7 linked regions of the Callithrix jacchus genome follow. The protein of the gene in region 1 purifies or fractionates together with the protein of each later gene. This does not show direct contact. Links are inferred from orthologs where the notes say so. Each region holds a gene or a part of one and is shown on either strand. Other genes may lie near its edges. The genes, in order: CANX, LRRC59, MOGS, LNPEP, GGH, HSP90B1 and ATP2A2.

Region 1 (3,500 bases):
CTGGCCCTTAATTTTTGTGTTTTTAGTAGAGATGGGGTTTCACTGTGTTGACAGGCTGGTCTCAAACTCCTGACCTTGGGTAATCCACCTGCCTCAGCCTCCGTAAGTGCTGGGATTACAGGTATCAGCCACCACGCCTGGCCCAGTATAATAGATTTATACAACTCAGAGTGGGGTTTTTTTTGCGGGAGGGCGGGTGGGTTTTTTTGTTTGTTTGTTTGTTTGTTTTTGCTATTTAAAGGGTTCTCAGAGGCAGAGTTAAGGAGTGGAACTTTTTTGTATTGTCTTGTAGGAAAGTGGGAGGTAGATGAAATGAAGGAATCAAAGCTTCCAGGTGATAAAGGACTTGTATTGATGTCTCGGGCCAAGCATCATGCCATCTCTGCTAAACTGAACAAACCCTTCCTATTTGACACCAAGCCTCTCATTGTTCAGTAAGTGAAATACTTGTTGGATAAAAGCTTTCTAGAAAGGGTAATGTTAGAAGACATTATACAACTTTTACTCTGTGTTAAAAATTATTTTGCAAATAGTGATCAGATAAAAAATGAGATTATATAGGTTGTGTTAGGGATTTTTGGGTGAATTTAAACATCTTGTAATTAATATTTTTTCCTGCCCAAAAAATTATTTTGAAAGAAACTGATTACTCATTTTCCTGACTAAATGAATTGCAGATTGTGCAGAACATATTTACTGGAAATGTGCATTAATGTTCAGTTTATTTATTTTTGTGGAATTTGGTAGCTATTTAAAAGCAATAGAAGATGGAATCCTTTGTAAGGGTAAACATTTGACCTATCATAAAACATGACGAAGATGAGGGAACAAGTACGTTAAGAGAGTTTAGATCTTTCAAAATGCCATACAATTTTCAGCTTTTCTCTCTGATATTAGGTATGAGGTTAATTTCCAAAATGGAATAGAATGTGGCGGTGCCTATGTGAAACTGCTTTCTAAAACATCAGACCTCAACCTGGTATGTAATCCCCATTTCTGGAATGTGGCTGGACACCCACTATTACCTTGTAAGAATTATGTAATTTTGTAATACTTGTGAAAAATAAAGGCTTCCTCCCCTGCTTTTTAACTCTTTTGATAAGTTGGGAATATTGACTTTGACATTAATGTGCTTTCTATTTGAAGTGTGACTCTCTAAGTTGTTACCAGCTGTTTTTATCTGAATTTCTGATTTTGCTTCTGTGTAAGTTTTGGTTTTAGCAAACTTATTTTTTTGTTTTATGAGAGAAGCAATAACTATCTAAATATGTGTATTTTTTTTTTTAAGTACTTAAATATGTTATTTTAAATTTACTGATGATTACTGATTATTCCTTTTCACTAAGCCTTATAATTAGCTTTTTCTTTAACTGTCACCAATATATTTGGAATTTTATAAGAATTATTAGACACTTTTGAAATGTTGCTTTTGAATACTTTGACTAGAGTGGTTTCAAATAAACCTTTTTTGCTTCTGAAGGATCAGTTCCACGACAAGACCCCTTATACGATTATGTTTGGTCCAGATAAATGTGGAGAGGACTATAAACTGCACTTCATCTTCCGACACAAGAACCCCAAAACGGGTATTTATGAAGAAAAGCATGCTAAGAGGCCAGATGCAGATCTGAAGACCTATTTTACTGATAAGAAAACACATCTTTACACACTAAGTAAGAAAAACCATTCGTTTGGGGGCTTATGGCATTACACTTATATCATCCATTTAACTTAAACATTGTATGTCTGGCTGGGTGTGGTGTCTCACACCTGTAATCCCAGCACTTTGGGATGCCGAGGTGGGTGGATCACCTGAGGTCAGGAGTTCGAGACCAGTTTGGTCAAAATGGTGTAACCCCAGCTACTTGGGAGGCTGAGGCAGGAGAATTGTTTGAACCCGGGAGGGAGCCAAGATTGTTGTGCTACTGTACTCCATCCTGGGTGACAGTGAGACTCCGTTTCCAAAAAAAAAAGATTGTATATTTAGAGAGTACACCAGCCTGCAGATAAGAATCTCGGCCAGGTGTGGTAGCTCACACCTGTAATCCTAACACTTTGGGAGGCCAAGGCAGGTGGATCACTTGCAGTCAGGAGATTGAGACCACCCTGGCTAACATGGTAAAACCCCGTCTCTACTAAAAATAGAAAAATGAGCTGGGTGTGGTGGTGCATGCTTATAATCCCAGCTACTTGGAAGGCTGAGGCAGCAGAATTACATGAACCCAGGAGGCAGAGGTTGCAGAGAGTTGAGGTCGTTTCACTGCACTCCGACCTGGGCAGCAGAGCAAGACTCTGTCCACCTCCACCAAAAAAAAGAATCTCTTCACTTAATATCTTAGTTGGGAAATGAGTTTAATTTGTCAGCATTAAAAGAAGCTCCTTGGCCAGGTGTGGCGGCCCACACCTATAATCCTAGCACTTTAGAATGCTGAGTCGGATGTAGGCTGAGTCTCTAGTCTCTACAAAATATTAAGAAATTAACTGAGTATGGCGGCGTGTGCCTGTAGTTTCAGCTACTCAGGAGGCTGAGGTAGGAGGATTACTTGAGCCCAGGAAGTTGAGGCTGCACTGAGCCATGATCTTGCCACTGCACCATAGCCTAGGTGACCGAGTGAGATGCTGTCTGGGAAAAAAAAAAAAAACTTCTTTTCCACAGGAACTGAGGTTTGAGATATTTTTAAGAATAGGTATTTTTAGCCAGGTGGCGTGGCTCACACTTATAATCCCAGCATGTTAGGAGGCTGAGGTGAGCAGATCACTTGAGGTCAGGAGTTCAAGACTAGCCTGGCCAAGATGATGAACCCTCATCTCTACTAAAAAATAAAAAAATTAGCCAGACGTGGTGGTGGGTGCCTGTAATCCCAGTTACTCAGGAGGCTGACCAGGAGAATAACTTGAACCCGGGAGGGTGGAGTTTGCAGTGAGCCAAGACCTCGCCATTGCACTCCAGCCTGGGCAACAGAGTGAGACTCTATCTTAAAAAAAAAAGAAAAAAAAAGGATGGCTGGGCTAAGTGGCTCACTCCTGTAATCCCAGAACTTTGGGAGGTTGAGGTGGGTGGATCACGAGGTCAGGAGTTTAAGACCAGCCTGGCCAAGATGGTGAAACCCCATCTCTACTAAAAATACAAAAAAATTAGCTTGGCATGGTGGTGGGCACCTGTAATCCCAGCTATTTGTAAAGCCCAGCCCGTAGGCTGAGGCAGAGAATTTCTTGAATTTGGGAGACAGCGCTGAGATCTGCCACTGCATTCCAGCTTGGATTGACAGAGCAAGACTTCATCTCAAAAATGAAAATAGTAGTAGGTTTTTTTATATCCTATAAAGAACTTTGCTGACCTACCTAATTTCTTCCCCCCTTTTTTTGTTGATAAATGTTGAATAATAAATTATATATACAGTTATACATAAATCCAATAAAAATAGACAGTTTTTCAGAAGTATCTTGTAATTGAACTTCCAAGTTTGTGTATAATTGTCCAATACCTGGACACTTGACAA
Region 2 (3,404 bases), on another chromosome or scaffold:
TATTTCATCTCTGCTTGGAGGGCTGATAGGCATTCATGTGAAATGTGGCTAAAGCAGATTCCTGATTGCGCTTCAGTCCCTCCCAGTGTTGCCTGTAGTAGGAGATCACTTTTCCTGTAGTTATTCAAGCCTGAAGTAGGAAAAGATGTTAAGACTCCTTTTTTTCTGTAATTCCCATATCCAGTCTGTCAGCAAGTCCCATATGGGACTGTTTGTCCACCTCCAGTGTCATCTCTAACCAGCCACCATTCTGGGACCGCCACAGCACCTTCCAACATGTCTCCATGACGGTGCGGTCTCCTTAAACTCATTGTCTTCACAACAGTCTGGGAGACTTTTTAAAAACATAAATAATTATGCTGCTACTTTCTTAAAACAAGTGGCATCCCACTGAACTTAGAATAAAATTATACTCATTGACAAGGCCAGTAAAACCCACCTTGGCCCCAGCTTGTTTGCCTGCTCTCCGCCAGCCTTGCACACACCAGTGAGTCTGCGCCGTCAGCTTCAGTTTGAATACACCAGCTGCGGTCTCACTTGGGCTTTGCTGCGTGTCCTTTTCCCTTAGTCCCTACCTGCTGGCCTCATGACCCCACATGTCTGCTCAAGCGTTGCCTTAGGTTAACCATAATGCTTTTAGACCACCGGACTAGAGTAACCTTCCTACCTGTCACTCTCATACCCTCTGCTAGTTTCTTTCTTTCTTTTTTTTAATTATTATTATTGTTTGAGATGGAGTCTCACTCTGTCGCCCAAGCTGGAGTGTGGTGGTGCAGTCTCAGGTCACTGCTATCTCTACCTCCTGTGTTTAAGCCATTGTCCTGCCTCAGCCTCCTGTAGCTGGATGCAGGTGCCCCTCTGCTAGTTTCTTTATGGCACAGATCACTGTCATCTTTACGTTCACTTGTTTGTGTGTCTCCTCTAGAGAGTAAATGAGAGAGACACTGGAACGTGACCTGTATTCTCCACTCTGCATCTCAAGCACTTAGAATAACTCCTGGCACATAGTAGGTTTTCTATTGACAGGCTGGCTGATTTCTGAGCCCCTCACTGGAGGACTACTGTGGTTCAAGAAGGGATGTGTACAGTACTGATTACAGGCAGTCCCTGAGGTCACGATGCCCAGATCCCTTATGTGGCATGGCCACTGTGGCAAGACATGGCTGTGCTTCCTCTGACCCCTGCTGCCTTCACCTCCCAGTGGCCCATGTTCCCTAGAGGCTGGGTGGTGTGGTTCTTGGCATTCCTGGTGCCCAGCTGGAACTCGGAGCTTGTTTCTACATGGAGAAGCAGTGGAAAGCTACAGTCTTACAGTACTGCTATTCAGCAACATTATGGCTCAGATAGGCTATTAAGCCCTAAAAGGACATTTAACCATCATTTGTGGCATTCTGGCTTTAGAAAAATGTGCTTCAGACTTCCAAATAACTAATTTGGAAATGCATTTTTAGAACCCAATGATTTGGAGGTTGTAATTTGGAAGTTTGTAAACATGCTTGAACTGCTGAGTAAATCTGAATGTGTACCTGTGTTCAGTTCTCAGATTCATGAGTTCAGGTCTAGAGGCTACTCTGACAAACTGTTAGGCTTATTTGTTTTTTAAGAACAGTCAAGTGCAGGCTGGTCCGAGTGCAGTGGTGTTTACAACTAATTGATCACAACCAGTTAGAGATTTTCTTCTTCCTTCTCCATTCCCACTCCTTCAGTTGACTAGCATTAAAAAAACACAGCAAAACAAACCAGTCTGTGCAGTAGTAAGAAAGTAGACTCACTTTTTTAGAACAACGTTGCCATTGTTACTTTTTTTTTTTCTTTTCTATTTTCTGAGGCAGTCTCACTCTGTCACCCAGGCTGGAGTGCAATGGCACAATTACCATTCATTGCACCTTCCACCTCCTGAGTTCAATCAGTCCTCCCACCTCAGCCTCCCAGGTAGCTGGGACTACAGGCATGTTCCAGCACACCTGGCTAATTTTCTCATTTTTTGTAGAGATTGTCTTGCCATGTTGCCCAGGCTAGTCTGGAACTACTGGCCTCAAGTGATACTCCCAACTTCACCTCCCAAAGTGCTAGGGTTATAGGCATGAGCTACTGCTCCCGGCCTCGTTGTTTCTAACCCTAAACTTGAGTGTTCATTTTCTCTTCTCACTGTCCCCCCATGCCACATTTATTTCTGAAGCTTGGGAAGATAGAAGTCCTATAGAAAACTGCCATGTTTTTTTCTCTTCATAGCTGAGTTCTAGAAGGCTATCAGTTGGTATCTGAGTTCTGAGTTAGTACCTAATTCTAGAGGAGCACCACTTAACCTCCATGCCTTGCTTAGGTCCTCCTTGTTATTTTACCCTAATTTCTCTGCTGCTTGAGGATAGGAACCTTGTAAACAGAATCATTCAGCAAACCCTGAGAACAGCTTCTTTTAGGGAGGGCTACTTCCAGGAACAGAAAGATGGCTGTTGCCTTTGACTATTTCTTATGTGATCCATGGCACCAGGGTAAAGGTGGCAGAATCTATACTTTTAATCACTTGGGAAAGCAAACTGCTGGAGTGTTTGTGGGAGAGAAGTCAAGTGTTGGTGTGTTTGTTATAGAGGCAGAGAAGAAGCGCGAGGCCAAGCAGCGAGCTAAGGAAGCCCAGGAGCGGGAACTGCGGAAGCGGGAGAAGGCAGAAGAGAAGGAGCGCCGGAGAAAGGAGTACGACGCCCTCAAAGCAGCTAAGCGGGAGCAGGAGAAGAAACCTAAGAAGGAAGCAAATCAGGCCCCAAGTAAGTTTGCTGTCTGTCGTAAGGTTCCAGCAGGGGTGCAGTGGAGACACTCATGTTTCTGGGCATAGATGACTGAGTGAGCAGCCCTGCACACCTTAGTCAGATAAATCACACTAAAGCCTGGAAGTAGATGGGAGGGTTTGGTTACAGGGAATGGAGGACTCTCCTCTAGGGAGCTAGTGTCCAGCTGGTTTGTTTCCCTAGTGCCCACATACTTCTGTTTTGGTCAGATGTGTCTTGGAGCATTCCTGGAATAGAGCCTTACTTTTTGTAGAGGTGAGATTCTAAAACCATTGAGATATGCAAAGATCACAAATGGTCAAGTTTAATCTTAAAAGTCCCTCACAGCCAGGTTCCGTGGCTCAGGCCTTTAATCCCAGTGTTTTGGGAGGCTAAGGTGGGAAGAGATCACTTGCGCCCAAGAGTTCAAGACCAGCCTGGGCAACATAGAGAGACCCTGTCTCTACCTAAGTTTTTTTAAAATTAGCCAAGTGTAGTGGCACACAGCTGTGGTTCTAGCTACTTGGGAGGCTGAAGCAGGAGGACCATTCAAGACCAGCCTGGGCAAGTGAGACCCCCCTCTGCTTGAACACTGAAGGAATCATTTGGCCTGAATTCAGGGAGCCACATTGTACAGAAAAC
Region 3 (3,933 bases), on another chromosome or scaffold:
AAATACAAAAAAAATAGCCAGGTGTGGTGCCCCACACCTGTGATCCTAGCTACTCGGGAGGCTGAGGCATGAAGATCGCTTGAATCCGGGAGGCACATTGCAGTGAGCTGAGATCTCACCACTGCACTAGAGCCTGGGAGACAGCAAGATTGTCTCAAAAAAAATAATAAAGTAATGTTCACTATCCTATTCTAGGTCAATCTGACTTACAGATTCTACATACAACCTTCTCTGACCTGGATATAAACCATCCTTTCTGCCTTCTGGGTTGTAGAGAGGAAAATGCCTTCTGTAAGTACTTGCACCACCACTATCATTGTTTTAGGGTTCATCTAGATAAGAAATCCCAGACTGAGTGGAAACACAATTTGTCTGAAGTCACAGCTGGAACAGAACCCAGGCTTCCTCTGGGGTCCACTCCTGCACTCTCAACTCCATTAGGAAAGAAGGCACCGGTGTGGGCAAACTCATCCAGCTTGATTCAGATATATGTGGGTTCCAAGCAAGCCACTTTCCAGCTGTATGGCCCGGACCAAGTTTACTTTTCCTGCCCCTGATTTTCACGGGGTGGTTAAATGTAAAACACCTGAGATAGTGTTTTACACTTAGGTTCCTAATATATAATCGTTATAAAAAAAAAAAAATGCCGGCCGGGCGAGGTGGCTCACACGTGTAATTCCAGCATTTGGGGAGGCCAAGGCGGGCGGATCACCTAAGGTCGGGAATTTGAGACCAGTCTGACAAACATGGAGAAGCTCCGTCTCTACTAAAAATACAAAATTAGCCGGGCGTGGTGGCGCATGCCTGTAATCCCAGCTACTCGCGAGGCCGAGGCCGGAGAATCGCTTGAACCCCGGAGGCAGAGGTTGCGGTGAGCCGGGATCTCGCCATTGAACTCTAGCCTTGGTAACAAGAGCGAAACTCCGTCTCAAAAATAAAATAAAACAAAATAAAAAACAAGCCAGTGGTAGATTGATTTTTCTGAGCCTGTGAACTCCATGGAGTCGCCAGATAAGCGCAGCCCCGGCGGATCCCCGCCCAGGACAGACGCTGCGCACGAACCCTACGCAAAATCGTAGGAAGCAGTTCCGGACTCCGGGACCAACATGACGTGGCGAGGCGGGACTGCCGGCGGGAGGCGGAAGTGCGGACTGGCAGGTGTAGCTGATCTGACTGCGGTCCGCGAAGCGAGAGGCGGGAGCCGGAGAGGCGAGGTAGAAACCGAGCTCCACTGCCGCCTTTCCGAGCTCTCGCGACGCGGACCGAGATGGCTCGGGGCGAGCGGCGGCGCCGCGCAGTGCCGGCAGAGGGAGTGCGGACTGCCGAGAGGGCGGCTCGGGGAGGCCCCGGGCGACGGGACGGCCGGGGCGGCGCGCCGCGTAGCACGGCTGGAGGAGTGGCTGTGGCCATAGTGGTCCTGTCTTTGGCCCTGGGCCTGTTCGGGCGCTGGGTGCTGGCGTGGCACCGTGCGCGGCGGGCGGTCACGCTACACTCCGCGCCTCCTGCGCTGCCCGCCAACTCCTCCAGCCCCGCCGTGGCCCCGGGCCTCTTCTGGGGAACCTACCGCCCTCACGTCTACTTCGGCATGAAGACTCGCAGCCCGAAGCCCCTCCTCACCGGTAACCGGGCTCCAAGGCGGGCGGGCAGGCGGATTCCTAATCTGGGCTCCCCAGCTTGAAGCCAGAGCAAGGGTGGGGAGGAATGGATCAGGAGAGTTACGAAGAGGGATGACCCGGAGGAACAGGTCCCCTGCTCTTTGACTTACGTGGCCATTCTACCCCCAGGACTGATGTGGGTGCAGCAGGGCACCACCCCGGGGACTCCTAAGCTCAGGCACACGTGTGAGCAGGGGGACGGTGTGGGTCCCTATGGCTGGGAGTTCCACGACGGCCTCTCCTTCGGGCGGCAGCACATCCAGGATGGGGCCTTATGGCTCACCACTGAGTTCGTCAAGAGGCCTGGGGGTCAGCACGGAGGGGACTGGAGCTGGAGAGTGACTGTAGAGCCTCAGGTCAGGGCCTCAGGACACCCTTTCCTCAGCCCAGACCCCCTCCATCCTTCCCTTGCTGCCAGCAAATGCAGCATGAAGTGGGCTCCAAGACTGGCTGCCTGGCTTAAATCCTGCCTTAGACAACTGCCTGTATGACCAACTCTACATCTCTAAGCCTTGATTTCCTTGCTTGTAAAATGTAGATAAAGCACCTAACTCAAAGAATTGTAAGAATTAAGTTAAATAAACTGTATAGACGTCTTAGTGTAGGACATAACACAAAAGTATACTGTAATCGCGCAGGGAAACCAGTGCAAGTCTGGTTTTATTTCATCCCATTTGGGTGTACGTGGTTACTCTCAGTGACCCTCAGCACTGCCAGAGGTATATTGTTTACAATTCCCCTGTCTGCTGTTCCTTTCCCTTACTAAGGCTGATTCTCAAGAGAGAATGCCAGTCTAACCCTGTTCTTTTCTGTCCTCCTTGATCACTCAGGCCTCGAATACCTCTGCCCTCCCTTTGGTCTCCCTATTCTTCTATGTGGTGACAGATGGCAAGGAAGTCCTACTACCAGAGGTTGAAGCCAAGGGGCAGTTGAAGTTCATCAGTGGGCACACCAGTGAACTTGGTGACTTCCGCTTTACACTTATGCCACCAACAAGTCCAGGGGATACAACCCCCAAGTATGGCAGGTAATTGGGGGAAGACAATGTTGGGAGATGGAAGGGGTGGTATTGATGCTGACTTTGATTTGTCTCCCCCACCCTACCTTCTTTCTACCAATTATTTGCATTTTCACCAGTCTCCATGTTCCTTGCCTGAGACCACCCAGCCTGACTCCTGAGCACTTTGTATTTCTCTTTATAATGACCACTGCCTTCTCCTGAATATTTTCTATTTATCTTCTTCCCTTCAAGCTACAATGTCTTCTGGACATCCAACCCAGGATTGCCCCTGCTGACAGAGATGGTAAAGAATAGCCTAAATAGCTGGTTTCAGCATAGGTCCCCAGGGGCCTCCCCTGAACGCTACCTTGGCTTGCCAGGATCTCTGAAGTGGGAGGACAGAGGCCCAAGTGGGCAAGGGCAGGGGCAATTCTTGATACAGCAGGTGACCCTGAAAGTTCCCTTTTCTATAGAGTTTGTGTTTGAATCAGGTAGTGCCCAAGCAGGAGGAAATCAAGCCCTGCCAAGACTGGCAGGCAGTCTACTGACCCAGACCCTGGAGAGCCATGCTGAAGCCTTTAGAGAGCGCTTTGAGAAAACCTTCCATCTGAAGGAGAAGGGCCTGAGCCCTGGCGAGCAAGCTTTGGGTCAGGTTGCCCTCAGCGGTCTCCTTGGTGGAATTGGCTACTTCTATGGACAAGGGCTGGTATTGCCAGACATGGGGGTGGAAGAGTCTGAGCAGAAGGTGGACCCAGCCCTCTTTCCACCTGTACCTCTTTTTACAGCGGTGCCCTCCCGGTCATTCTTCCCACGAGGCTTCCTTTGGGATGAGGGCTTTCACCAGCTGGTGGTTCAGCGGTGGGATCCCTACCTCACTCGGGAAGCCCTTGGTCACTGGCTGGGCCTGCTAAATGCTGATGGCTGGATTGGGAGGGAGCAGATACTGGGGGATGAGGCCCGAGCCCGGGTGCCTCCAGAATTCCTGGTGCAACGAACAGTCCACGCCAACCCCCCAACCCTACTTTTGCCTGTTGCCCACATGCTAGAGGGTGGTGATCCTGACGACTTGGCCTTCCTCCAAAAGGCCTTCCCCCGCCTGCATGCCTGGTTCTCCTGGCTTCATCAGAGCCAGGCAGGCCCAGTGCCACTGTCTTACCGCTGGCGGGGACGGGACCCTGCCTTACCAACCTTACTGAACCCTAAGACCCTACCCTCTGGGCTGGATGACTACCCCCGGGCTTCACACCCTTCAGTTGCTGAGCGGCACCTGGACCTGCG
Region 4 (4,069 bases), about 42 Mb from region 1:
TCTCAACACCACTACGTCCATTCACTTATTCATGCAAAAATTATTTACTGTATACTTACCCAGGCGTTGGTGATACAGCCTTAAAAAAGATAAAGACTCTGCTCTCACAGAGCTTGCATTCTTGAGAGGGAGGCTGATAATAAACAACAAATTCAAAACATTGTTTCAGACAGTGTGAGTGCTGAGAAGGAAATAAAGCAAAGCCAAGGCTTTATAGTGCAGACCGTGTTTGTGGCTATTTTACATGTATAGTCAGAGAAGGGTTCTTTGCAGAGGTGACATTTGAGCCGAGACATAAATGACAAGATGGAATCAGTAGGCAAAGCACTAAGCAGAAGAAACAGTTGTGCGAGGAGCGTGCAAAAGGTATGATTAACAATGATGGATGGAACTTGGCGACTTCCAAGAACAACATGAAGGCCTCTGTGGCCAAAACATGGTAAGCATGTGCTGATGCGGACCCAGAGTTGGGCAAGGAGTTTCATTTTTATTCTAAGTGTAGCTGGTATCCGCTGGAAGTTTCAAGTAGGCGCGTATTGTGGGGGATGTAATACAATAGACAGTTTAAAATACAGTATTGCACTTTGACTTAGTGCTGGTCAAACAACACCCTGACCGTCCCTCTTTGCTCAGGCTGTTTGCGCTCGCCGCGGCTTGTTTGTCCCTGGCACCCTGTTGACAGCCTCGGAGCGTGTGACAGTTGGCAGGCGCAGTGAGGTGCAGCTCGAGCCAAGTCGCTGCAGGGGCCGGGGCTGAGGGATGGGAAGAGGCAGAGGAGGCGGTGGTGGCGTGCTCGGAGGGCGGTGGCCTCTGCGGCGAGGGTGGTGGCTATGCGCACACCGAAAGGGGGAAAAGGAAGCGGGCCCCGACCAGCCTTCTCGGGGTTCGCGGGGCCCTTGGCGGTTCGGCCCCGGAGGTTACAGGGGCTGTCCGATTTGGCACTGTTAACAATGGTGGCTTGGGGCTAGAGGCAATGGCGAGAGTGCCAGGGAGCAGAGGTGACTAGGGAAGTTTCGGTTTCTCGGGCCTAGCACCGCGGAGCCTCGCTGCGGGCCCCAGCGGTGTCACCCCGGGAACCGCAGGTGTTGATTTAAGGCTCGGAACAGGCGGGCCTTCTGCCCACATCCTGCTGCGTCCGCGGCCCTGGCAGGACGATCCGGCGCCGGGTTTTGTCATCCGCCCGCACCTAGAGGCCGCGCCCGCAGCCGCGAGTCGGGGGACTGGACTCCTGGGCGCCCTCGGCCCAGCAGGGTCCCCGCCTTCTCTTCCGTCTCCTCCCCACCACCCGCAAGGGACAGTCGGTTGCGGGCGGACATCTCTGCAGAAAATATCTACAGCGCCCGCTCCCTCCGTCCTTGGAGAAGTGATCCCTCCGCGGCTAATCTCCCCAAGGAAACCGGCGATTCGCAGTTTGGATAGCGACCTTCGCCCGCAGGTTCCTGCTCTGCCTTCAGACCTCGGCTTCAGTGGCACCTGCTCAGCGAGGCATCTCCTCACCACGCCATCCGAATTAGCTACCCACTCACTGGGCATCACATCACTCGATTTAATGCGCAGCAGGGCATTGACTTTACACTGGTGTGTCTTCTGTGTTTATTTATGATCTGTTTCTGGAATGACCGTTCCTGGGACTGGGACCCTGTTTTTCCGGCGCAGTGCACGTGGCTCGGAGTCCAGGATCGGGCGGGTCGCAGTAGGGCCCCGCATTTGTTGAGTGACTGAACTTGGTTCCCCTCCCGGGAGGGCGCCGCAGCCAGGGCCGCTTCAGGTAGGGGCGGGACTTTCCGGGTCCCGCCCCAGGCCCCGCCCCCAACGCGAACCCCGCTCCTTCCTGGCCCTTCCGCGGAGCCTCCGGGGGTCGGACTGTGCTTTTCCCTCTAGCTTCCTAGCTCTTTCTGCAGCCGCCGCGAAAACCCGGAACGGCGGAACCATCGAGCAGTGGAGCGGCGACGCCCCTCGCGGCACCTCCCCGGCAGCCCTCCGAGGCCGCGCTGGGCATGCTCAGTCGGCAGGGCCGCCTCAGCTCTCGGAGTAGGAAGCTCGGGCGCTCGGGCTGTGAGGAGCCGCGGCGGGGGTAAAATGGAGCCCTTCACCAATGGTGAGTGGGCGGCCGAGGCACCTGGACACGGGCTCTCTAGAGCCCCGAGGGCCGTGGGCAGTCGTGACACGCGGAGTCGGGCTGCAGCCATCTTCCCCCCGCCGGCTTACCACGAGGGCTGGGGGAGGCAGGGAGATGGGATCTTGGGGAGGCAGGGAAATGGGACTTGGGGGGGCGGGCGGCGGCCTTTGCTGGGCCCCGGGCTCGCGTGAAGGTCAGCGCCGCCGCCGCAAGCCCGGGGTGCGGCCGGTGGGCGAACCTCAAAGTTTGGGCTGCTGCGCGCAGAGGAGTGGGCATCGGGAAAGTTGGCAGTTCAGGTTTGCCCCGGGAGGAAGCGGTGTCGGCCCGACTCCTGCAGGAGCGTTAAGCTGTGGCCGCTGCCCAACCCAACTTTTGTGGGGCGCCCGGAGCTGTCCCACTGCCCTTCAGTGAGCTGCCGGTGTGACTTTTCCTACCAGGGCGGGGGTGGGGGAGAGGGTGGGAGGCTTGTTGTGGAAGGAAGGGAAACTTCAAGAAAGGCTCGCTCACCCGACTCGGGGCCTCAGAGATGCCTGACCGCAGTGCCATCCTCCTGGCCCCGCCAAGGCACTCCGCAGGGCCACCATGCTTCCCCCTCACCGGCTGCAGGTCCCATCAGTTATTCAGTCGAAGACTTGTTAATGTCAAGGGTCCGTCACGGTGATAACCACAGTGTGACAGGAAGCGAGAGTCAACGCAGGGAGCCTGCCTGCACCCTGCCGGTAGCCACTGCCCTTTACTGAACCGGGAGCATAAATCCTACCCTAGTTAAAACGATAGCTTTTGTTCTGACCACAGGTGCCAGAGTCACAATATAGGGGTGAGATGTTTTACCATTTTGCGGCGCTGAGTGTGTGGATTTCCTTTTAAGATAGAAAGTAGGAAAACTGCCAGTAAGGGAAACAACTCACTAAAATTAGAGGATTCACTCTCTGGTTTGACATGTTTTCCTGAGGGTGGTTGGTTACTTCAGGTGGAGTATCGCTTTCAAAGGCTCCACTGTCTATCACTGTATAGGTATGTTAGTTGCCACCCAAGGGCAGACAGATATTGTCCATTATATCCCAAATCCCAGCCAGACTTTGTTGTATGCTGCGCTTCATTGATGGGGCTGCGAACTACTGATTATATTCTCCCTTCTCCTAATGTAGAATGCTTTATTCTACTGCCATCTTTCTGTCTGTACTGTTTAATTAGGCTTACTGATAAGAACTTTAATTCTGAATTTTCTTTCTCATTCAGGTCCTATTTGTAATTACTAAGACTCAAAGAATAGTCTGGTGAAGTTACTCGAAAAATTAAGGAAGGTTTGAGCTAAAAGGAACTATAGAGACCATCTAGTACTTCAGTGTAAAATATGTTAAATACAAGTTGTTAGTCCTTACAAGTGATTATTCAAGGGTTTATTCTTTGTTCTTGGTAGAATGCTTGGAGTTACCATGTTTGTAGGATTTTAAATGTTAAATATCTCTGTGACAAGGCTGACTCACCCATTTGGTCAAGATTAGTGCTAGCTGATTTGCTGAACCTTTGCTTACAATTATTAAAGCACTTTTTCGAGTTTCAAAACTGGGGTCTTTTCTCTCATAGAATATGCTTCTAGATATGGGTATTTGCAAATTGTCACATTTGGGAGGACAATGGAAAAATCCCACAGAAGAGAACAAAGAAAGAAGCAATGCTTCGACTTTCATGTAGGAAACTGTATTTTTGATTCTTTCCTATCTGTCTTTCAGAGTTGATGCTGGAGACAGCTTGGCAGTGCATAATTTTGGTTAACGTAGCAATCATTCTTTGGAACCTTATTTAGCATCCTTTTACAAGGAAAATAGAAGTGACAACATCTACAGTCAACAATAAATTCGATGTTAGCAATTTGAAGTGCATTTCAAGTTTAAGATGGACAGGGTATTTATTTGAAAACTTGAAGAATTGTAGAATTTTCTAGTGTTT
Region 5 (3,354 bases), on another chromosome or scaffold:
AGATCTGCCTTTCAGTTAACTGTGTGTAACTGTTAATTTCCTAGTCTTCCAGCCTGTGGGTCTCTTTCTCATAGTTTCACATGTAGTCCCAGAACAGAGAGAAAGAAAGGGCAGTGTCACAGGGAAGTGGGGAGGCAGGGAGCTGAGTGCCTGGAGTTGCATGAGGCAGGTGTTTCTTCTCCTGAACACTCACAAAGCTGGGATAAAATGTTTCCCTTCTGTGGCCTGCTCTTTAGTCAGAAAGCTTGCTGAGATGAGAATGGTCAGTGCTTATACCCCTACATATCTCATATTCCATTAATTCTCTTTATTTCTCTAAGTACTTTCTGATGGTATTCATGGTTACAATTCCCAAGCAAAAAGTAACAGAGGGGAGATTTTATTTAATTTTTTCAAATCAAAATGAGGAGAGGCTTCTCTGAAGAAGAGATAAATATGTGCATTTTTCCAAAGGTAACTATTATATATAGTCGCGTTTTTTCTTGAATTGTGGAATTGTTCATGTGTATGTAAAAGTAGAGTAATATGACCCCTGGGTGTCTGTATCACCTTCAACAATTGTCAACAGTTTTGTGTCCCTTCTTGCTTCATGTCTACTTTTAAACTTTTTAAAAGTATTTAAAAAATTTATACCACAAAGTCATCAGTCATTCCATAGACTGATAGAGACAGTTTAGGCTGGGACAGACTGGCTTGTGTGGAAGGACACCAGAAGGGCTGTCATTATGGCAGGAGGGGAAAGCATGCTGTGAGACGGGGGAGAAAGAGGCGCATTGTGGAAGAAACTTGTATCACCAATAAAATGTGCACCTGACTTTTGGAAGGGGATAGATTCCTCAGCTCAGTTTTTACTGTGCTATGAACATCTTGAAAAGCAAGTTGTACTACAGATTGTAAAAGTTTGCTAATCAGTGAAATGTGTTACTGGGAATTTTCACATTGAGTGTGAGTGGATATTTTGTGTCTGAGAGAGTGTGAACAATTTACGTTATCTTCTATTGTGAGTTATAAAATGTTTTACATAAGACATAAACCAATTTCATTAGAAGTAACATCTTAAACCATTCTTAGTACTTACTGATTTGCGTTCTTCCCACAGGATATAAGTATCCAGTCTATGGTGTCCAGTGGCATCCAGAGAAAGCACCTTATGAGTGGAAGAAATTGGATGGCATTTCCCATGCACCTAAAGCTGTGAAAACTGCATTTTATTTAGCAGAGTTCTTTGTTAATGAAGGTAATATGAGGGTACATAATGTCATTCTGTGGTAGTTTTGAAGGAAATTGCCCTCATCTGAACTTTTGCCTACCTTTTTGCTATATAGGTGTTTTCTACGTGCTGTAGGTTTATCTTTAAAGAATAATAAAAATGTTAAATAATGTGAAAGCCCTGAACTTGAGATATTAGGTATTGAGATATTAGGTATTCTCATGAAACCAGGACAGTTACTTCCATTAACAGTATCATACATACTTGAGTGGGCAGAATTCTTGAACAACAGTAGGAAGAATATTGAGGGTTTTTTTTTCTTTCTTTTTCTTTGGTGTTTTTGTTTTATTTTGTTTTTTGACAGGGTCTTGCACTGTCACTGAGGCGGGAAGGCAGTGGTGTGATCATATCTTATTGCAGCCTCAAACTCCTGGGCTCAGGGGATCCTCCTGCCTCAGCATCCTGAATAGTGAGACTACAGGTGCACACTACCACGCCTAGCTTTTTCTTCTTGGATAGTTTTTATTTAGATTTTTCCCCTTATTCTCCATTTTTTAGAATAATGCTTTAATTATAACAGTCTCTGAGAATTAGATGTTACTTTTCCAAGACGAGGATACAGATTGAACATATGCCCACCAGGTCGTGATTTTAAGGCTACCTGTCTATAGGCATTAGCATACTGGAGAAAGCTAATAAACTCTGCCTGCTTTTTGGTGATGAAAACACAGACATAATCATGCTGTGTTCTGTTTGTGGGCAAAATCGAGAATTTGGCTGTAGGTGCTTATTTCTTAGTTGAGCATTATAGGTCCAGTAAGTCTTATGACTTTAAGCAAAACTTCCCTTCCCCTTCCCTCCCCATTTTCCTTCCCTTCCCTCCCCCTTTCCCTTTCCCTTTCCCTTCCCTCTTCCCTTCCCTTCCCTTCCCTCCCCTTCCCACTTCCCTTCCCTTCCATTCTCCTTCCCTTCTCCTTCCCCTTCCTTTTCCTTCCCTTCCCCCTTCCCTTCTGCCTTTCCTTCCCTTCCTTCTTCCCTCCCTTCCCATCTCTCCCTTCTCTCCCTCTCACTCTTTTTTTGGAAAGCAAGTTTATTAGAGAAGTAAAGAAATCAAAAGGATGGCTGCTCTATAGGCAGAGCAGTTGCATTTTTCTTGTTGGTATTTTCCCACGTAATAATACTGATTAGAGGAAGAAATGTTAAAAAGTAGTCTTGTGAAGATTTTATTATCTGATCTTTTTAAAAATTAACTTTTTTTTCTTGCAGCTCGGAAAAACAACCATCATTTTAGATCTGAATCTGAAGAGGAGAAGTCACTGATTTATCAGTTCAGTCCAATTTATACTGGAAATATTTCTTCATTTCAGCAATGTTATATATTTGATTGAAAGTATTCAATTCGTTAACAGAGCAACTTTGAATAATTCTATGATTAAACTGTTAGAATAACTTGCTACTCATGGCAAGATTGGGATGTCACTGAATCTTTTCTATAATGTGACTGGCTCTGATTCTTCATTCAGCATGTGACTGTTTATATAATGTTTCATAACTAAACAGTGAGACATAAATAATCAGTGTTTTTCATGGAAAAGCTTTCTTATATCTGAAAATTGGAAAAAAATAAATTTAGTGAAATACAAATATTTTCTCTAATTGATTTGCTTTGGAAACAAATACCATCCCCTACCTACCCACCCCATCCTCCTGCTGAAAAAGAAAAGAATCTTAAAATCCTACCACTTGTTCATTGTGATGTCTCCCTCTTTCGGATCTCAGGAGTATTTGTGTGTGTGTGTGTGTGTGTGTGTTCGCGCGCGCGCGTGCAGGTATGTGTGTATAGGTATGTGTGTGTGTATCTACTTTTCTGCTGTGTTAACTTCACATTTAAAGTATACACATCCTGAAAGCAGAGTCTGTGTCTTCAACTTTTTTTTTTTGAGACGGAGTTTCGCTCTTGTTATCCAGGCTGGAGTGCAATGGCACAATCTCAGCTCACCGCAACCTCTGCCTCCTGGGTTCAGGCAATTCTCCTCCCTCAGCCTCCTGAGTAGCTGGGACTACAGGCACGTGCCACCATGCCCAGCTACTTTTTTGTATTTTTAGTAGAGACGGGGTTTCACCATGTTGACCAGGATGGTCTC
Region 6 (3,500 bases), on another chromosome or scaffold:
CCAGGGTGTTGGCTCTTACCCATTCTTCCTTTTGGAGATAATACCAGCTTCAATACAAAAAGTAAAATTGTCTTAAATGTCTACCCCTGTCTACTAGAAGGAAGACAACAAATTTACAACGTGATTTCTCCTACATTCGATTGAGAAAGAAAAGGTCTTTGACTCATGACTTTATCATATTTATTGTATTTGATATATAAATGGGGATTTTTCTTAAATCTGTTATGCATACTGTTTCTTTTTTTCTTTTTTGAGACAGAGTCTCACTGTCACTAGGCTGGAGTGTAACGGTGCAATCTCGGCTCACTGCAACCTTCACCTTTCCGGTTCAAGCAATTCTCCTGCCTTGGCCTCCCAAGTAGCTGGGACTACAGGCACGCGCCACCATGCTCAGCTAGTTTTTGTATTTTTAGTAGAGACGGGATTTCACTATGTTGGCCAGGATGGTTTCAATCTCTTGACCTTGTAATCTGCCCACCTGGGCCTCCCAAATGCAGGGATTCATGCACCACCGTGCCCAGCTGATACTGTCTTTACTTTTGCATTGGATTATATGCTTAGCCTCATATCTGAATTTATTTTACATTTTCAAATGTAATAGTTGCACAGGAGGTTAATGACCTTTCTCAATTAAGTTCATTTCAAATCATGCCCTCCACACCCCCAAGCATTAAATTATAGGTACCCAGACAGAATGTCTCTTGAATAGTACACGACCTGTGAATTAACAGTATTTCAACTCAAGGGCCTATACCTGGAGGTTTAATAAGTCTTTGGTAGCTTTTATTTTCAAGAAATATAGTACTTTATGTTTATGTTTTAATGTCACAGAAATGACCTTGAAAATGACTTCTTCCCTGCTTTTACTCTCTTTGACCTGGGTGTGTTTCTGATATGCTATCTAGTAATCATCCTTTTTTCCCTAAGGCCTAGTTTAAGGATTCTTTTTAAAGCCTTTTCTCACAAACGTAGTTTCCATTGTTGTCATAATTCCAAAATTCATATAAGTCTTAGGTCTTGACCATAAATTTCATGTCCACCTATGAATTTCAGGAAATGATTAATTAACAGGAAGTTACTTTTCATTCAACAAATACAAACGCTTACTATGTCAGTAGATATAACTCTTGTCTTTTGTAACTTCAGACTAGTAAAAATGACAGATCAAAGCCAGGCATGGTGACTCACTCCTGTTGTCCCCACTACTCAGGAGGCTGAGGCAAGAGGATCAGTTGATCCCAGGAGTTCAATACTGTAGTATGCTGTAATGGCCCTGCACTTTAGCTCTAGCTTGGGTAACATAGCCAGACCCCGTCTCTTTAAAAAAAAAAAAAGACAAATCAAGTCATAATCCAGGCTCTACATAGATAATGGGTATGACAGGATAGGGATAGATGTGGTTCCTCTGTGTCCTCAGAGCTTTAAACTAGAGAAGAGATAATAATCACAATGAGCAGTAAAATGCTGAGGATTTTGAAGGTATATTCAAAATGCATTTGGAACTGAGTTCGGATAAAAAGTTAATTTTTCTTGGAATCATATTGGTGAAGGCATCATAGAGAAGGTATTATTGGAGCAGCACCCAGAGACTACATAGATATTTCTGAACTCTGGGAGGCAGAGCTGCAATTATGGCAGTAAGAATAAACTAAGAGGGAACAAACAGGACATTAAGTCAGTTCATCTGTTCAGGTGTTCTCTTAGGTACCTTGGACTCATCAATAAATAATTCCTTTCATTTCATTTTTCATCTAACCATGTCCACTTGCCCCCTGCCTGCCTCCCCATTAAAAGGGAGCAATACAGGCTGGGCATATGGCTCACATGTATAATCCCAACACTTGGGGAGGCTGAGGTGAGAGGATCACTTGAGGCCAAGAGTTCAAGACCAGCCTGTGCAACATAATGATACCCTGTCTCCACAAAAACTAAGAAAACAATGCAGCCATCCCTTTTTGTATCCTGGGGTATTGGTTCCAGGATATCCATGGATACCAAAATCCACGCATAGTCAAGTCTCTTATAAAGTCGTGTTGTATTTGCATATAACCTAGGCACATCGTCTCATATACTTTAAATAATCTGAAGATTAACACCTAATGCAATGTAAGTGCTATATAAATAGCTATTACACTGTGTTGGGCTTTTTATTTTTTGTTTTGTCCTTTCTAATATTTTTAATCCAAGGTTGGTTAACTCTGCAGATGAAGTGGACTGGAAAAGTACAGCCGTCCCTAGGTGTTCAAGGGGGATTGGTTCTAGGACCCCTGCCAAAATCCACACACATATTCTAGTCCCCAGTCTACCCTGTGGAACCCAAGTATATGAAGAGTTGGAGTTCTGTATGTGTGGATTTCACATCCCAAGAATACAGTATTTTCTATCCGAGTTTGGTTGTTGAGTCTGCTACAGGAGGGTGGGCTGTATTTATTGGGGGAAAATTAGCATATAAGTGGACCCTCAAAGTTCAAACCTGTGGTGTTGTGTCAATAATACATTTTTATTTTTTTACCAAAAGTTGTTCTCTGTATTTATGAAAGAATAAGGGGAATGTATGAACCCTAAAATTGGATATGTTTTGTTAATGTTCATTTTTATCTCTTAACAGTTACTATGCAAGTCAGAAGAAAACATTTGAAATTAACCCCAGACACCCACTGATCAGAGACATGCTTCGACGAATTAAGGTAGTGTTACAGGAGTCCTCTTGCTTATCTTTTAATTTAAATACTTTGTATCTTTTAATATTAATCTGGTGTATCTTCTTGCATCTCAGGAAGATGAAGATGATAAAACAGTTTTGGATCTTGCTGTGGTTTTATTTGAAACAGCAACACTTCGGTCAGGATATCTTTTACCAGACACTAAAGCATATGGAGATAGAATAGAAAGAATGCTTCGCCTCAGTTTGAACATTGACCCTGATGCAAAGGTTTGTATCCCCAACCTTTCCACAGAGGCTGGCTGGCTTTCTTTGTTTCTGCTCTTTCAGAATAGGCTTCTCATGATTGAGGGATGTAGCTTTGAGACATTTGCCTAATTTCTACCTTTTGAAATAATTGTATTGAATGTTTGAATCCCTCTAGTCTTGGGCACTGCATTAGAAACTAAGTCCTTCTATGTCCTCTTTCCTTTTTGCCTGCCTCCCTTCATTAGCTTGACTATTCATTCTAGTTAGAGGATTTACTCTCTGGTTCTGAATAAATCGAAGTGACATTAATTATGATTTTAGACATCGAAATGAGCAAAGTGGCAATAAATCCACAGCATTAATGGGCCCATAAATGTTGTGTTTAGGTGGAAGAAGAACCCGAAGAAGAACCTGAAGAGACAACAGAGGACACAACAGAAGACACAGAGCAAGATGAAGACGAAGAAGTGGATGCAGGAACAGATGAAGAAGAACAAGAAACAGCAAAGGTATAGCAAATCAAGAATGTGACTTGCATTTTCAGTTCTTACAAAGTTAGGACTGTGTAACTTATAGAAGTCAGACTGTG
Region 7 (2,395 bases), on another chromosome or scaffold:
CCTGCCACTGCACTGGGGTTCAACCCTCCTGACCTGGACATCATGAATAAACCTCCCCGGAACCCAAAGGAACCATTGATCAGCGGGTGGCTCTTTTTCCGTTACTTGGCTATTGGCTGTGAGTACAGTTTTTTATATTGCTGATTTTTAAACGAAATGTTTGTGAGCTGAAATTTTGTAAACTCATCTCTTAAAAACCTATTTTTTCTTCTGTCCCCATATAGGGTAGCAAAAGATGGAGGATGCCCTCTTACAGTTTGATGAACTATACACCCAATTTACTAAAGTCCTTTCAGTTAGTTCCAGTTTTAGCATCCTGCCCTTATCTGGGCTTTTGTGAATGAGCAATTAAACATCAGGCCCGTGTACAAAGGGATAAGGATGACTCAGTCTGGGTTCTGCCTTCTAAGAGTTCATAGACGGGATTTGAATAGATAATTGTCACCAAGACATAAAGCTTAGTCCCTGTTTCCATAAGCAAGAGAAGGGTTGTGCAGTGGCTAGGCCCTATTGTATATGAATCATCTCTGTAGCCATCATCTTCCTCCCCCATGTGCTGGTTCCAATCCAATCAAATTCAAGATTGGGAAAGTGAGTCGAAATCACTTCCCTGCAAATCCCATAGGAAGGCGTGTTTTCATAATATATTCACACAACTTAAAATTCAAAAAGCACACGATGGCATAAAGTGGAAAGGTTTTGGGCCAGTCACTTCCCTCTGGCATCGAGGAGCTCATGTACCCTGTGCCCTTCCAGAGAGATTCCAGCATGCTGTGCATGCTGCATGACTTTGTCTCAACGTCTTCCTGCTTGTCAGATCCTTCCACATTGGGACAGGCATAGTGCCTCATCCTTGCAGCCAGGGGCTTCGTGCTCCATTGTAATTACTGGGTTAGTGGGTATATGCACTTGTCTTTTTTTTTTTTTTTTTTTAGACGGACTTTCGCTCTTGTTACCCAGGCTGGAGTGCAATGGCGCGATCTCGGCTCACCGCAACCTCCACCTCCTGGGTTCAGGCAATTCTCCTGCCTCAGCCTCCTGAGTAGCTGGGATTACAGGCACGCACTGCCATGCCCAGCTAATTTTTTGTATTTTTAGTAGAGACGGGGTTTCACCATGTTGACCAGGATGGTCTCGATCTCTTGACCTCGTGATTCACCCACCTTGGCCTCCCAAAGTGCTGGGATTACAGGCGTGAGCCACCATGCCCGGCCCCACTTGTCATTTTTGATGCTGCCACATGGGGATATTCACCTCATCTGAATTCTGTGTATTCTTTGCTGCACCTAGCTGCTTCTTTGCAGTAAACTTCCTGAACTGAACGCTAATGTTGGGGGGAATCCCAGGAGCTGCTGAGGCCAGGGCCATGCTGCTCAGTGTTCTACCCTAGCTCCTGACAGCATTTCCCTAGAAAGCTGCTGCTGGGCCTTTAATGGAGCAAATAAATTCGTGTACAACTAGGCAGCATTAGTTTGCCCAGAAGTCATGGTGTTATCTAGCCTTACATTGGAGGATACACACTTGCAGCCTTGAAGTACTGCTCCCTTAGGGGAGAAGGCACAGCCAGGGTAAAGGTTGGCACAAGATTCAGCAGTTGCTTTTTCTCACACATTGTAGAGGAAAAATTACCCAGTTCTTCTGTACCAGAAATATCCCTGTCCTTCAGAAACCAGGCTTTAGTTGCTCTGGCTGCCAGGCATGAGCAGTTTGCTGGTAGCACCACAGATTCTGGTGATATGTTATTACCATCCCATGTCTTTGATCTTCTTCCTTATGTGGATTGGCCTCTGTGGCCTTGGTGGCAGTGGGCCCTGCAGTGGCAGAGGCAAGTGCCTCAGCATCATGTTTGTTCCCAGGTTACGTCGGCGCTGCTACCGTGGGTGCTGCCGCATGGTGGTTCATTGCTGCTGATGGCGGTCCGAGAGTGTCCTTCTACCAGCTGGTACTCAGCCACCTTTCTTTTTGTTCCTTACATGAGAAGTGTTGTGAGGCCTTGACCTTTCTGTGGTTTGGGTGTCTATCAAATCATCTTAAGGCTTAAATGATAAGCAGTTACATCTAAGATGATTCTGAGGGACCAGGGCTTCTCTGGGAAGTTGGGGTCAACCCCTTGGCTGGCTCTTCTCTTGGGCTGGTCTGTGCTAGTCTTGGTATGGAGTTGGTGCCTGGACTTGAGAAATATACTGGGCTGATAGGCGTTTGATTGGATTTTTGTTGCAGAGTCATTTCCTACAGTGTAAAGAGGATAACCCGGATTTTGAAGGCGTGGATTGTGCAATCTTTGAATCCCCATACCCGATGACAATGGCGCTCTCTGTTCTAGTAACCATAGAAATGTGTAACGCCCTCAACAGGTTAGTGCACCTTCACAGCAGGCTGGGGCGAGCGTGCCAAT

What was found.
Region 2: the proteins of CANX (region 1) and LRRC59 purify together in Homo sapiens (affinity purification with mass spectrometry; 3 studies listed by BioGRID and IntAct, with this or other methods). This does not show direct contact. The link is inferred for Callithrix jacchus from reciprocal best matches to the Homo sapiens genes CANX and LRRC59.
Region 3: the proteins of CANX (region 1) and MOGS purify together in Homo sapiens (affinity purification with mass spectrometry; 3 studies listed by BioGRID and IntAct, with this or other methods). This does not show direct contact. The link is inferred for Callithrix jacchus from reciprocal best matches to the Homo sapiens genes CANX and MOGS.
Region 4: the proteins of CANX (region 1) and LNPEP purify together in Homo sapiens (affinity purification with mass spectrometry; 3 studies listed by BioGRID and IntAct, with this or other methods). This does not show direct contact. The link is inferred for Callithrix jacchus from reciprocal best matches to the Homo sapiens genes CANX and LNPEP.
Region 5: the proteins of CANX (region 1) and GGH purify together in Homo sapiens (affinity purification with mass spectrometry; 3 studies listed by BioGRID and IntAct, with this or other methods). This does not show direct contact. The link is inferred for Callithrix jacchus from reciprocal best matches to the Homo sapiens genes CANX and GGH.
Region 6: the proteins of CANX (region 1) and HSP90B1 purify together in Homo sapiens (affinity purification with mass spectrometry; 4 studies listed by BioGRID and IntAct, with this or other methods). This does not show direct contact. The link is inferred for Callithrix jacchus from reciprocal best matches to the Homo sapiens genes CANX and HSP90B1.
Region 7: the proteins of CANX (region 1) and ATP2A2 purify together in Homo sapiens (co-immunoprecipitation; 3 studies listed by BioGRID and IntAct, with this or other methods). This does not show direct contact. The link is inferred for Callithrix jacchus from reciprocal best matches to the Homo sapiens genes CANX and ATP2A2.

What each region holds. Positions count from the first base shown.
Region 1 is NC_133503.1:71,938,439-71,941,938, reverse strand, and holds part of CANX (calnexin), read left to right. Parts: intron 1-292; coding exon 293-434; intron 435-897; coding exon 898-979; intron 980-1,480; coding exon 1,481-1,673; intron 1,674-3,500. UniProt on the Homo sapiens protein: Calcium-binding protein that interacts with newly synthesized monoglucosylated glycoproteins in the endoplasmic reticulum. It may act in assisting protein assembly and/or in the retention within the ER of unassembled protein subunits.
Region 2 is NC_133506.1:115,940,030-115,943,433, forward strand, and holds part of LRRC59 (leucine-rich repeat-containing protein 59), read left to right. Parts: intron 1-2,588; coding exon 2,589-2,762; intron 2,763-3,404.
Region 3 is NC_133515.1:38,737,344-38,741,276, forward strand, and holds the start of MOGS (mannosyl-oligosaccharide glucosidase), read left to right. Parts: upstream 1-1,133; 5' UTR 1,134-1,267; coding exon 1,268-1,619; intron 1,620-1,784; coding exon 1,785-2,011; intron 2,012-2,485; coding exon 2,486-2,682; intron 2,683-2,907; coding exon 2,908-3,933. UniProt on the Homo sapiens protein: In the context of N-glycan degradation, cleaves the distal alpha 1,2-linked glucose residue from the Glc(3)Man(9)GlcNAc(2) oligosaccharide precursor in a highly specific manner.
Region 4 is NC_133503.1:113,669,841-113,673,909, reverse strand, and holds the start of LNPEP (leucyl-cystinyl aminopeptidase), read left to right. Parts: upstream 1-1,269; 5' UTR 1,270-2,079; coding exon 2,080-2,098; intron 2,099-2,626; exon of another isoform or gene 2,627-2,792; intron 2,793-4,069. UniProt on the Homo sapiens protein: Release of an N-terminal amino acid, cleaves before cysteine, leucine as well as other amino acids. Degrades peptide hormones such as oxytocin, vasopressin and angiotensin III, and plays a role in maintaining homeostasis during pregnancy.
Region 5 is NC_133517.1:19,003,022-19,006,375, reverse strand, and holds the end of GGH (gamma-glutamyl hydrolase), read left to right. Parts: intron 1-1,099; coding exon 1,100-1,237; intron 1,238-2,476; coding exon 2,477-2,598; 3' UTR 2,599-2,854; downstream 2,855-3,354. UniProt on the Homo sapiens protein: Hydrolyzes the polyglutamate sidechains of pteroylpolyglutamates. Progressively removes gamma-glutamyl residues from pteroylpoly-gamma-glutamate to yield pteroyl-alpha-glutamate (folic acid) and free glutamate.
Region 6 is NC_133510.1:106,891,293-106,894,792, forward strand, and holds part of HSP90B1 (endoplasmin), read left to right. Parts: intron 1-2,608; coding exon 2,609-2,687; intron 2,688-2,776; coding exon 2,777-2,932; intron 2,933-3,297; coding exon 3,298-3,420; intron 3,421-3,500.
Region 7 is NC_133510.1:113,257,679-113,260,073, forward strand, and holds part of ATP2A2 (sarcoplasmic/endoplasmic reticulum calcium ATPase 2), read left to right. Parts: coding exon 1-118; intron 119-1,856; coding exon 1,857-1,942; intron 1,943-2,220; coding exon 2,221-2,354; intron 2,355-2,395.